Arabidopsis thaliana: one gene and its partner. The protein of the gene in region 1 interacts with the protein of each later gene in a pairwise test. Each region holds a gene or a part of one and is shown in the gene's direction. Other genes may lie near its edges.

Region 1 (8,081 bases):
TCCAAGAAAGAAACCTCGGAATCTGTCCCATTTTCTCTCAAAACTAAAACACAAAACCAAGAAACAAGAATGCAAAATGCTTAAAGAAGAAGAGCAGAGTGGGATAGCTGGATAAAGACCTCTTTTAAAAAAAACAAAGGAAACAAACAAGTGGTGTCCAACGAGACTGATCCTTTTTTTGGCTGATATTCGAAGTTATGATTTTTGTAAGAGATTAAAATAACCCTTGAAGAATCTCAAGAGATAAAGGTATGTATAACAATGTGTTTATATTGGATTACGAACCTAACTCATGTACTTAACTCATAAATATTACCAATCACGATTTTAAGAAATTGAATTTTTAATCCTAGTAGACAAATTCTAAACTGAGACTACCTATCAAAATACCTGTAGAATTGCAGGCAGAGGATCAAAAGGTCACAGAACAAATTGGCCACAGTGAAAGGATCGCTAGAAGGCTTTTTATATGTAAACTGAAAAAGAAGAATGTGTAATTAGGTCGAAGCTCTTTGTTTGTTTCTCTCCACGATAAAAGATATTTCCCATTGGGAAAAAGTTATTGTATTTTGGCTTTGGCGTGAAGAGTTTCAGCTTTTCGGTTTGTCAATGGCAGACCTTGGAAACGACAGTACATGAACCGAGTGAGACACTGAATTTATTCAGGATCTCTGTTTACTAGTACAAGACTGGTGAATGCTTTATGTGTAACAATATTTTCTAGATTTACGTCACTTCTCTGTTTTCACATCTAATTAGATTAGCTTAAGGCTCATTATATTGACTATGTAATATTTTGCCCTATATATGTTTAGTGTAATTTACACATTTGGACAAAACGATTTAGGGTGAAATTGTTGTAATAACATATTTTGGGGTGTTGATTGTGAAAGTAACAAAGAGAAGAAAATAATCTCTGCAAGGGTAACATTAAAATAGATAAATGATCCATGGACCAAAATCTACATATTGCCACGGCCCAAATTGTTCAAGAGTTTAGCAAAGATCATATGGGCTGGATCCAAGAGGTTTATTATATTTGGTCATTGTTCAAGTATATTTGTTTTTTTGTTTTCTTTTCATACATTACTGTTTATTGAATATGATTCTATCAAAGGTGAAGTTGTATAAAATGGGGTGGGATCATCATTTGTAAGCATTCAAGTGTCTCGTTCTCTAACTTTCTTAAGTTTGTTGGCTTTCTCTCTAACTCTTAAGTATCAATTTGGAGAAAAGCACGAAAATTTAAAATATGCTAAGACTACTCGTAATAAATTAATAAAAATCAAACTATGCATTATCTAAAATCTTCTGTATATAAAATTTACACAAAATTTTAAAATTTGAAAAAAAATAAGCTAGCGTTGAGCTCAAATCCGCTCAAGATCATCCTCTAGCACCATGTACACAGTGCATGTACGAACACTTCCAACCCTCGATTACAAAACACCGGATTAATATATGATCTTTCCTTAGAATGAGTGTACTCCACAAAGAAACATGAGAGGTTTGGAAGATAAACATAAGCATTACCCAAAAAACCTTATTCATTTGATCATGCCTGCCATCGTCTTACTTCCCTAAACATGTCCTTAAAATGAAGAAGTGAACCTACCACATAATTCAATTTCTCCCCCATTTTTAACATTCGTAAAATGTAAAAGAAAGGAAACTATTTTGTTAAGTATTGTTTTTATGGCTATCCTTTTTTTTTTTTTTTTTGTCAAACTATGGCTATCTTTTAAAATGGGTAGGTAAATATATAAATGATGTTAATGAATAATACTACTCTTTTAATTTATATATATATTTTTGTTTTTTGGAGATAGGTGATCCTTTATTCGCTCTATTTTATTTTAATCGGCATTCATTTTACAATTCACAGGAAAAAAAAAAAGAGAGAGAGGAAAAGCTGAGTAAAACCGTGCAGCCCTGAACTTCGACGCTTTCTCCTCTTTCAACCAATCCGTTGAACGTCGTCGTAATAAGCTTCATCTTCATCAATCATCATCACTTTCTTCTTTCTCCCACAGATCCTTCCTTTTCTCCTTCATCTTCCCCTTCTTCCTTTTCCCTCATCGCCCAGGAACACATCCGATCTGCACCCTCTTCGTTCGATTCTCACAATTAATATCTAGGGTTTGCGAGGACCCCCCCTCTCTATTCAAAAAAAGAGAGCAGATTTTCTCTATAATCCCCTTTGGTCAGTTTCTTCTCTACCTTTTTTTCCCCTTTGTATTCCAGAGGAATCGAGTGATGAGTTTATAGAATTATCGCATTTTGAAGTAATTTGGGTCCTTTTGTAGAGCTTGATTGACATTTCTGGAGACATTTGTATGTTTCAGAGCTCTTTTTTTGTTGCTGTTGTTGTTCTAGCAAGTTGATTGCGAAATTGTCAACATTCTGGGAATACGTCAATTGTTTTTTTAGTATTGCGGTCATTTAGTCTGGAACCTCTTTTGATTCCGCAGTTTGACGATCTTTCATACTTTTAGGTTTCTGTACCAATTTGATTGTCGAACATTGTCTTTCTGTTATGATGGTGAATTTTAGAAAGTATTTCAATTCATGTTGGAGAATTTGTATAGGCAGTCTGATTCTGCAACACATTTCACGGTAGCAGTGTTATAGCAATAGTTCTTCAGTGTCGGTCTTGTTTGATTCTTTGGGATTTGAGCTTCAAATTTCATTTGTGAATCTGATTCTGTATGTGACTTACAGGTTTCAAGTGGTGTAATTGGATCGTGTAGCTGCTTTTATAATGACCTCTAGCACGACAGGAGATCGAAGGTTTCTCTTCTTTCAACTTTATCTTTGTCATGAACTTTTCTATGTTTTTATACTGGATTATGGGTTATATATTGGCCTCTTTGCACGTTACTTGCATGATTTTTCTTTTGATTTGGCCTTTTCTTCATATGAATTACTTGTTTTCGTTGTGCTGTATATTCCAACTGTTGTTAAAATATAGAATCACTATATGTGCCTGGGGTATAGAAGGAAACTCAGGGTGTGGTTTTTCTTTCTTTGAAAGAGCTTGCTTGCATGATAGACATTCACCATGTATTTGTAATAATTTTATTCAACATTATTATTGATTTGCAACATGCCAACATCACCATTTAGATTAAAAGAAGGGAAAGTTGTAAAATGTGTGTAGAAAACATATGTAAAGAGCTGATCGTTTTTTTAATAAATTGTATAATCATTTATACTTTGCTCATTTACACTTAAAGAGCTTTGTATCCTCTGTGGTGATGATGAGAAATTACATGTGCTGGATATTAGCAGATGGGGTACTACAAGAAGAAGTGGCATGACTATATTGGGAAAGGTTGCTGTTCCAAAACCGATTAACTTACCAAGCCAAAGGTATTTGATGAGCGCATGATCACATTTAGACTTCATATATATGTATAATCTCGTTCCCTGAACACTTCTCTTCTGAATTTAAGGTTAGAGAACCAAGGCCTTGACCCAAATGTAGAAATTGTTCCAAAGTAAGTTTGTACCTGTTTGAGATGCTATTTCCCTCATTCTTTTTCGTCCTCAAATTTTAGATGGTTTAATTTTCTTCTGGACATCTATTTTAGGGGAACACTTAGTTGGGGCAGTAAATCATCACTGAATGCTTGGGGGACATCATCCTTGTCACCACGAACTGAAAGTGGCCCTGGTTCACCAAGCCACCTCAGTAATCGACCTTCTTCTGGTGGAAGTGTCACTCGACCTTCAACTGCCGATAGTAACAAAGCACATGACTCTTCTTCTTCTGTTGCATGGGATTCGAACTCGCGGCCTTCATCAGCATCTGGGGTGTTTCCATCTAATCAGCCATCAGTTGCACTACAGCGTCCACATAGTGCAGACACAAGACCAGGAAGTTCCCAGTTATCCCGATTTGCTGAACCCGTGTCAGAGACTTCTGCAACATGGGGTCAACATGTGGCGCCAGAGAAGTTGGTATGGTTCTTCCCTTTAAAGTCGTCTCTAATATTTATCGGGACTCTGCTAAGCATCTTTTTTTATCCTTACATCTGTGAAGCTCCATGTCACTCTTCTCTTACTTCACTTGTGCTTAGTTACAACAAACACACAGCAAGTTCTTATGTTTTTGGGACTGTGAATGGTAATTACTTTTTGGGATTAATGATTGATATTCAATCTAGATAGAACTTTAATAGCTGGATACATCATTCGTGTTTGCTATGGGAACAAGATTAGGATGCTAAATTTGTCAAATTATAGGGCACTTATTTCTCTTAGAGAAATGCTTTGTAGTGCGTAAGATAATCTGACAACTGAGTGGCACATGGTCTCCAATAAGTCTCGAGTTCTGGTTGGGCAAATAGAATTTGATGGAAGGGTTTTTGTATTATTATTTGGCAAACTTCAATCTTCAAGGTTTTTTTTGAAGAATAGTTGTGTACAATTTACCCACCTTTGCATTATCTACCATGAAATTTATCTTCATTCTTAGACTTCTCATTGTTTTCTACAGGGAGTTGCTCCATCAAAGAATGATGGGTTTTCTTTGACTTCTGGAGATTTTCCTTCCCTTGGTGCTGAAAAGGACACTTCTGAAAAGAGTACAAGGCCACAAGGTACCATCTATTAACAGTAAAAATTATTGTGTCATCCATGCATTACAGTACTTTGATTTAAGAATAGTTCTCTTTGCTCTTTTCAAAAAGTACGATCAGCATGTAAACTAGGAAAAAAAAATTGTTTCAACTTGTACACAATTCAATCTTATACTCGTCGTCCTTGCCTTCAAGGGAGTGACGTTAGCACAGACGGGTTCATTTTGAAAGTTGGTACTTCTAAATGTAATTCTGTTGAGAAGTTTATCTACACGGATATTCAGCAAAGTTAAAACTTTCGGGAATGACCTTTTTTTTTGGCTTGCTGTTGGTTGACCACTTTTTCGATCTTAGATGACCTCCTAATATGTGCCACTGAGAATTTTAGGATTACCTAGATAGAATGTGATGTGCTTATATGAAGGAGATACGTTAGACATGGCTCTTAGAAACTACAAATTTGCAGATGCTGGACCTCACGCTCGTCCTCCATCTTCGTCTGGAAGATCTGTGGAAGGGCAAGGTGTAGATTGCACAGAAGGTTCTTACTTTCAAACCTATTTTTCTATGTTTTGGGGATATACAACAGATGTTGGCATCTCATTTCGAGAGTTACTTATGTTTATAATCATCTCTTATGAGAGGGCCATGTTACCCTCACAGGTGTTCATGTGAATTCTTCTTACTGCTTTATTCCCCGTACATCTTTTTAGTGGATGTTCTCGCGGACACTATATTTGACCATATCTTGTCTTTTATTTGCAGAAGCTAATGACCGGATTGGGGATGCCAATTCCTGGAGAAGAGAGAATCAACCATACAGTGAAGATGCACCTAGACATTGTAGAGAGGAAGGGCAATTGGACTCACGTGGTTCACAATCTTATCCTAATGCTAATTTTCCTCCTCGGTATGATGCTTGGCGTGGTCCTCCAGTAAATAATCATCAAGGAGGTGGCTGGTACGGAGGGAACCACCCGTATGGTGCCCCAATGGGTCCTGGGGGTTTTCACATGGATCCTTTTCCATTTTATCCTACGCAAGTTCCACCTGCTCCTGGACATGGGGCTGGTCCTAGGGGTAATCACGCTAATAATGAAAGAATGTTCAGACCTCCAATGCTTGACTCTTATGTCCACCCAAGGATGCAGACTAGGCCTGGGTTTTATGTTGGTCCAGCGCCACACGAAGGCTACTATGGTCCTCCCATGGGGTATGGCAGTCCCAGCAACAGAGACCTACCTTTTGCAGGTAGGCCTACTGGTCCGCATGCTTATAACAATCATTCTGGTCAAGGTGGATATGATACGCCTGGAAGTTCAGTGTCTTTGGAACGGAACGAGTCATCACATTCTCAAGAAACACAAAGGCCATACAAGGTTCTCCTAAAGCACCAAGATGGGAGGTTTGGGGAAGATAATGCAAAGCGGGAAGAATTTCTTGGAAATAGGCTCCCGAATGCAGAGAAGATAGCTCAACAGATGCAAACTTCAAGAAACGAGAGGAGAGAAATCAGAAATGACGCAAGTGGTGAAGTACAACCAGTCAAAGCAGAACTTGCTGCCCCTGGAGATCCTAGTTTGATTCAGAAAATCGAGGGCTTAAATGCAAAAACTAGAACTAATGATGGTTGGCAAAATTCGTCATCTGTTGTTAATAGAGATGAGCAGGAAAGCCAACCACGTACACTCAATTCTGGGAACTCTGCAAATAAAGTTTCAGCCAGAAATCATCGAACTGGTCATGCAAGTGACAGTAAGAACTCATCACACTATAATCAAGGTGATTCTGCCACAAACAAGAATGCTGAACCCGCAGCTATGGGTGGAACTAGCATATTCAGGTCAGTTATCATTTTTCAATTGTGTTTCGGCCAGTTATGCCATCCTTTATGTCGGGAAAGTTTTGATGTTAGTACCTACAGGAGACCTACTCAACAGACTCAAGGCAGAGCAGATCCGCAGACCAAACGAATAGTGAACAGTGAAGGCAATGATGCTTGGCAGAAGACAACTGTTATGTCAGGCTCCTCCCATACAACTTTAGCTACAAACACAGAAAGCTTTCGCGAGGTTAATGTCGATGACTCTTTGGATACCGAGTCCATCAGGAGGCCTGGGTCGGGAATATCAGCAGACCCAAAGGATAACCAGGTATAAACTAGTTCATATGATTCTGGTTGTTATTTATACTTTTATGTATCTCTTGTTTGTAGTCATCCTTTTTTGGTTTGACTGAGTGTTTGCCATGTTCCCTTAAAAGCGTTCTACGATGAGAGAGTTAGCCAGGCAGCGTGCTCAACAGAGGCAGAAAGAGGAGGAAGAAAGAGCGAGAGATCAGCGGGCTAAGGCTCTTGCAAAACTAGAAGAGTTAAATAGACGTTCCCAAATATATGAGGAGGGTTCAGTTAAGAACATGGAAGCTGCATCTAATGCTTCTCCGGCTGACATGCCAACAGATCCTGGATCTCATTCATCTAATGCTACAAATTCCGTAGAACCTACTGGAGGATCAGGAAAAAACACAACGCAAAACACGAGGACTTCAACAGAATATGCAAATAATGTGGGCCCTTCCCAACAGGATAATCTTCCACGTGATGGCGGTGCCTCAAAACAGAAGCGCTTGGGTTATAAGCAGAAGCAAAATATTATATTTGAGAAAAAACCGACAGGGAGCTCTGTTGCTACTGCAGAGGTGTTTGATGTTGTCCCGTCTCCTGAGGTTGTTAATGAAGGTGTCTCAAGCAATAACTCAGACATGCCAGCGACGTCAACCGTTTCAGCTGAGTCAACTTTCCCGAAAAGAAAAAATAACAGGAATGGTAAGAAAAAACACAAGGCTGAGGAGACAGCAACTATGAATACTACAAGAGTTGCCGTTGGAAAAGAAACAAAATCGGGAGATGAGTCAATTGAGACTGCTAGGGCAAGGGCAGCTGAAATTGAGTTGGGGTCTGTTTCAGTTCCAAGCCTGGATATCAAAGTGTCTGGTGATTCGTCTGAACAAATCAGTTCCTTCACTAATGAAGAGTCTCAAAACAGAGCTAAAAACAACTGGAAATCTCAACATGTGCGTAGGACTCAAAGAAACTCACTGGTAAATAAGCCTGCAGAGAAATTTTCTGGCAACAATGCTGTTATTTGGGCTCCAGTACATCCACAGCAAAAAGCTGATGTTTCCACTGGTGGAGGGAGTCAGACTACTGTCCCTGAGTTTGGCACCTCTTCAAAAAGTCAGCATCAAGGACAGACTAGTTCTAAAAGCAAAAGAGTGGAAATTGAAAGATATGTACCGAAGCCTATAGTAAAGGAAATGGCTGAGCAAATCGTCAGTAAAAATCTAGTAACCTCTGCTCCAGATATGTCGGAGAATGTAAACCAGAAAGAAAATCGTGGAGGTGAGGGTACAGGAATTCTCCAACCTTCTGGTTCAACTGCAGGGAAATCTGGGTCTCCTTCAAAGTCAAGACATGGGAATGGTAGGCAGGGAAAGCAT
Region 2 (5,113 bases), 1.3 Mb from region 1:
ATACGCAATGGGGACAAAAGTTAAATTACGCTAGTTGACCAATTTATGTATCGATAAAGTATGTTACCGTTTTACCCTTTTCTAAATACCTTAAGCATGATTTAATTGCGTTAATTACAGCTAAGATCATTGGTAAACGTTTTTGAATAGAATGATTTATCTTCTAGAAGAATTTAATTGGAGTAAGAATGGGTAGCGTGAAAAATAAGGGGGTTAGTATGGTCAAAGCATTAGAAAAAAAGAAATGTACTTTGAGCCTTGAAGTCAGAACCACACAAAGAGAAACATGATTGGTTGATCTGTTAAATGAAAATGGGTCCATCGTTGGTTGGTAAGTAACCCACGTGTCCGGACAATGTTGCAACTATGAGTTGGTGTTTTGAGAATGTTAAAAGTCAGCTTTGTATTGGACGATTATGCCCCTCTTATTTCTCGTTTATTACTGTTGGTATTGTATGCTCATAAGATAAGGTTCAAGAAAAGAAATGTTCATAAGATAAGGTCGAAACACTAAATGACGGGTGAACAATGGCATTGAACAAGTGGATCTGATTATTTGTCTTTGAGAGCATATCTCAAATGCAAATTGATGTAAACTGATTTGTGGATACCAAACCTAACAAGTCCCATATGGTTTTCTGGTGAGATTTCTCTGCGTCAAATTTAATGTTGAACACATTTATTCTTTGATAAAGACATCACAATCTCGTTAAGTTTTAATACTCGTCTCTATATATTTTACGTCCGGTCACTATTTATGAAAAAAACAGAGTAGTAGAATAAGTTATTAACACATGATCGTACAAAAGCATCTTATGGTGACGTATAGGATCATAATGATATGATTAATAAAGTTTTGATTAAAGATGTATGGATACAAATGAAAGAAAAAAGTTTGCGGCTATATCTCTTTAGGGATGGGTTCTTAATAATTAAAATTACTTTTGAAGGACTTTATCGTTTGCGCAATCTCATAATCATGTCCACATATCTCTACTTTTTCACCGGCCAAAACTTATTCGGTCCATATCCGTATCTTAACGTGAATTATTGATCATGCCGCAAGACCAACAAGCCCACAACTTATTTTACTCTTACATGTGTAAAACAATTAACAACCACAGTGATTGTGGACAGGAGAAGATGAAACAACTCAATGTAAGTAACCCAACACAACCGGTCAATCGGTCATTCTTGTGAACTGGTTTCATTACAAGAACGTGTACCAACTATCTCTAAGCAAACATGCAGAGGCTATGATATCATACATCATATATCAACAAGTTACCAAAAAAAACACTCGTACAGTCGTACTCTTGATGTAACTTCCAAATAATTTTTATATATAACCGGTTCATGTTTCTGGTACATGCTGACAACTACAATATGTTCTTCATACAAGTTTAGCTGACCAATGTGACTACAGATCCCAAAAACTAGCAGCAGTAAGATGGTTGGATTATAACACAAGACCAAGATCAAAGCCCTTCCAATTTCTCAAGAACTCACATATCACTCACTCCTCAAGAAGAACAATTTACTAACTTGAGATCCCTCGTATCTTAAGAAAACACCTTAGGGAAGAAACAATATCAGCGTTGAGAACCTGGTTTCCTCCACAATGCATTTGGCACACATCGGAACTATGGATTCAAAGAGCACCAAAACGAGTCTATATCTCTCAGTTTTATGCCAATGCCAACAGAGCTCAAATGGCACCCATAAAAACATCAAAACAGTCTTCTTTATAGATAATAAGAATATAAGATATCTAGCCTAGCAAAAAGATCGAAACTTTGGGTTTCCCCCTTCGTTACCTCAATCCTCAATAAAAAAAAATTCCAATGAAACGAAGTGAACGAACGACGTCGTTCTATTTTTTAGGTTGCAAATAATTGAAAACAAATAAACGGGACAAATTCACAAGTAATCAATATATTTAGGGACGAAATTACAAATATTTAATAGAAAAACAAGAGTTTGGCTGTTTCCTCCTTCTTTCATCCTTATCACAAGTCTGAACTAAAAAACCTCAATTGTAATAAACAAATTAAAAAGCAAAAATATAATAAAGAGAAAACAAACGTTTTTTTCCTGCTTGCTTCTCTCTTTGCTTGCGTTTTCTCAAAGGTTCGAAGAAAACGAAGAACCACGCTTTTGCTTTTTTCCCAAGACTTAATCTAAAAAGCGAGATTTCCTTCTTTCGATTCTTTTTTCTCAATCTGGTTTTCAGTCTTCGGATTCAATGGCGTCTGGATCTTCGGGTCGGGTCAACTCAGGATCCAAAGGTTTCGATTTTGGCTCCGATGATATCCTTTGCTCTTATGATGACTACACCAACCAAGACTCCTCTAATGGTCCTCACTCCGATCCTGCGATCGCTGCTTCCAACTCCAACAAGGTTAACCACACTGATTTACCCTTTTCTTCCTTTTTTTAGGTTCGGGTATTTTGCTCGATCGGCGATTTTTGTTTGATTTTTGGGAATCTAGAGTTTTGATTTGTGGTTTGCTCAGAGATACGTGTAAAAACAATTTCGAGGAGTCAATATCGAACTAGTCCTCTTAGTGTTGAGCTAATTTAGCTAGTTATTTCTATGTTGGTTGTGACTTATGAGGAGCTATGTTCTGTGGAAACGCCTTAGCTATGAATCTGACTTGGAACTAGAGCTTGTTAAGCTGTGCTTGTCCTCCTTATTTTCAATTGGAAGAAAATTTCATCCACTTTTGATCAGATATACTGAGCGAGTCTTTGTTTATTGTTTCATTTTTTTGCTTGTAGGAATTCCATAAAACAAGGATGGCAAGGTCTTCGGTTTTCCCTACAAGCTCTTACAGTCCACCAGAGGATTCTTTGAGCCAAGACATTACTGACACTGTCGAAAGGACCATGAAGATGTATGCTGATAACATGATGCGCTTTCTTGAAGGCCTCAGTTCACGCTTGTCTCAGCTTGAACTCTACTGCTACAACCTTGATAAGACCATTGGAGAAATGAGATCGGAGTTGACTCATGCACATGAGGATGCCGATGTGAAGCTTAGATCTCTCGACAAACATCTTCAAGAGGTTTGTTATTGTTATGCAATGTTTTTAATCCTTTTTGTTAATTTTAGTTTGTAAAACTCTGATCAGTAATTGACCATGGATGTTCTGTTGTAGGTGCATAGGTCTGTCCAGATTCTTAGAGACAAACAAGAGCTAGCAGATACTCAGAAAGAGCTAGCGAAGCTACAACTTGTGCAGAAAGAGTCATCTTCGTCGTCTCACTCTCAACATGGTGAGGACCGTGTCGCCACTCCTGTTCCAGAGCCTAAGAAGAGCGAGAACACCTCTGATGCACACAACCAGCAGCTTGCACTTGCTTTGCCTCACCAAATAGCCCCACAGCCACAGGTGCAGCCGCAGCCACAGCCACAACAACATCAGTATTACATGCCTCCTCCTCCTACACAGCTTCAAAACACACCTGCACCGGTGCCCGTTTCTACTCCACCATCACAACTTCAAGCACCACCAGCGCAGAGTCAGTTCATGCCCCCACCTCCTGCTCCATCTCACCCAAGCTCAGCCCAAACTCAGTCATTCCCGCAGTACCAGCAAAACTGGCCACCCCAACCACAAGCCAGGCCACAGTCAAGTGGAGGCTACCCAACATACTCGCCTGCACCACCAGGCAACCAACCGCCAGTAGAATCGTTGCCAAGCAGCATGCAGATGCAATCACCATACTCTGGACCTCCTCAACAGTCTATGCAAGCTTACGGATACGGTGCTGCACCACCACCACAGGCTCCTCCTCAGCAGACAAAGATGTCTTACAGCCCCCAGACTGGCGATGGGTATCTACCCTCAGGACCTCCTCCTCCTTCCGGGTATGCCAATGCCATGTATGAAGGTGGGCGAATGCAATACCCACCACCTCAGCCGCAGCAGCAGCAGCAGCAAGCCCATTACTTGCAAGGTCCACAAGGTGGTGGATACTCTCCCCAGCCGCACCAGGCAGGTGGCGGTAACATTGGTGCACCACCTGTGTTGAGATCAAAATACGGTGAACTGATAGAGAAGCTAGTGAGCATGGGTTTCAGAGGAGACCATGTCATGGCTGTTATTCAGCGGATGGAAGAGAGTGGCCAACCCATCGACTTCAACACCCTCCTCGACAGATTGAGTGGGCAGTCCTCAGGAGGACCTCCCAGAGGATGGTGATGCCATGGCTCCCCTCTACTTGTGTATCTTTCAAAATAAAACTGTGCTTCCTCTTCCTCCTCCTCTTTGCGTTACTCTATAGAGGCCCTAGTTTTATTGGGCCCAATAGATTGGGTCTGTTGTGTATTGTTATAAGACTCAATTTATATTTCTTTAAAAAGCCTTATTATTTGTGTATGTGTTACTTTCAATGTTTTTCTTGAACCCAAAATCTCTTATCAATGATTTGCTGCTTTCTTTACTTCACTTTTGTTTTATATAGATTGTGAAAATTAATAACCTGAATAACAAGCTTTTAATATTAAATGGAAATTAGTTCCTATACCAAAAAACCTTTCAAATCATGAAATTTGTGTATTTAGAAAAATTGGAAAAATAAGAAAAATGGAAAAAAAAATGTCAAAAATAGATTTGCGTAAATCCTTAAAACCAAAAAACAAATAGAAAAAAAAAACTGCGGGAAAGGAAAATAGAAGAGGCGCCAAAGATTTTATTTCAAGCAGCGCGGTTAGAGTCTCGCGCCAATAAACATACCGCCACAATCTCCTTCTACATAAACAGCCCTAATCCTCTATCTCAATCTCAATCTCTCATTCATCATCCTCTTTTTTCAATCTCGTTTAAAATTAACATAATGATGACGCCAGTGAAGAAAAGTATCGCCATTAGACCGGTGTCGTTCTACGGAAACGGGCTTCCTCGTCCTCGTTTCTTCGATAATCCTAAGTTCAATGATTACCGTGTTGATCCTCCCCTCTCTGTGCTAGATCCTCTTCTCTCATGGGCGAGAGACGCTCACTGGTCAATGGGTGGTCTCAACTTCACGCGTCTCCGTCTCCAAGGCCGGATCGAAGGAAACGTCAACAAGCTCCGTGCACAGCTTGAGAAATCCACCCCTGTGAAA

The links. Proteins that work in one complex are often made in the same cells at the same time.
Region 2: the proteins of MOS1 (region 1) and AT4G28300 interact in a two-hybrid assay, tested with the Arabidopsis thaliana proteins (one large-scale study listed by BioGRID).

What each region holds. Positions count from the first base shown.
Region 1 is NC_003075.7:12,730,664-12,738,744, forward strand, and holds the start of MOS1 (modifier of snc1), read left to right. Parts: upstream 1-2,014; 5' UTR 2,015-2,139; exon of another isoform or gene 2,140-2,203; intron 2,204-2,721; 5' UTR 2,722-2,761; coding exon 2,762-2,790; intron 2,791-3,288; coding exon 3,289-3,372; intron 3,373-3,455; coding exon 3,456-3,500; intron 3,501-3,593; coding exon 3,594-3,963; intron 3,964-4,501; coding exon 4,502-4,604; intron 4,605-5,007; coding exon 5,008-5,124; intron 5,125-5,348; coding exon 5,349-6,426; intron 6,427-6,507; coding exon 6,508-6,736; intron 6,737-6,845; coding exon 6,846-8,081. Other genes in the region: TAR2 (tryptophan aminotransferase related 2), read right to left, coding at 1-31. UniProt on the Arabidopsis thaliana protein: Involved in the regulation of the chromatin structure and DNA methylation at the SNC1 locus. Regulates the expression of SNC1 at chromatin level.
Region 2 is NC_003075.7:14,012,615-14,017,727, forward strand, and holds AT4G28300 (formin-like protein (DUF1421)), read left to right. Parts: upstream 1-2,031; 5' UTR 2,032-2,245; coding exon 2,246-2,401; exon of another isoform or gene 2,402-2,781; coding exon 2,782-3,069; intron 3,070-3,162; coding exon 3,163-4,209; 3' UTR 4,210-4,483; downstream 4,484-5,113. Other genes in the region: AT4G28310 (microtubule-associated protein), read left to right, coding at 4,844-5,113.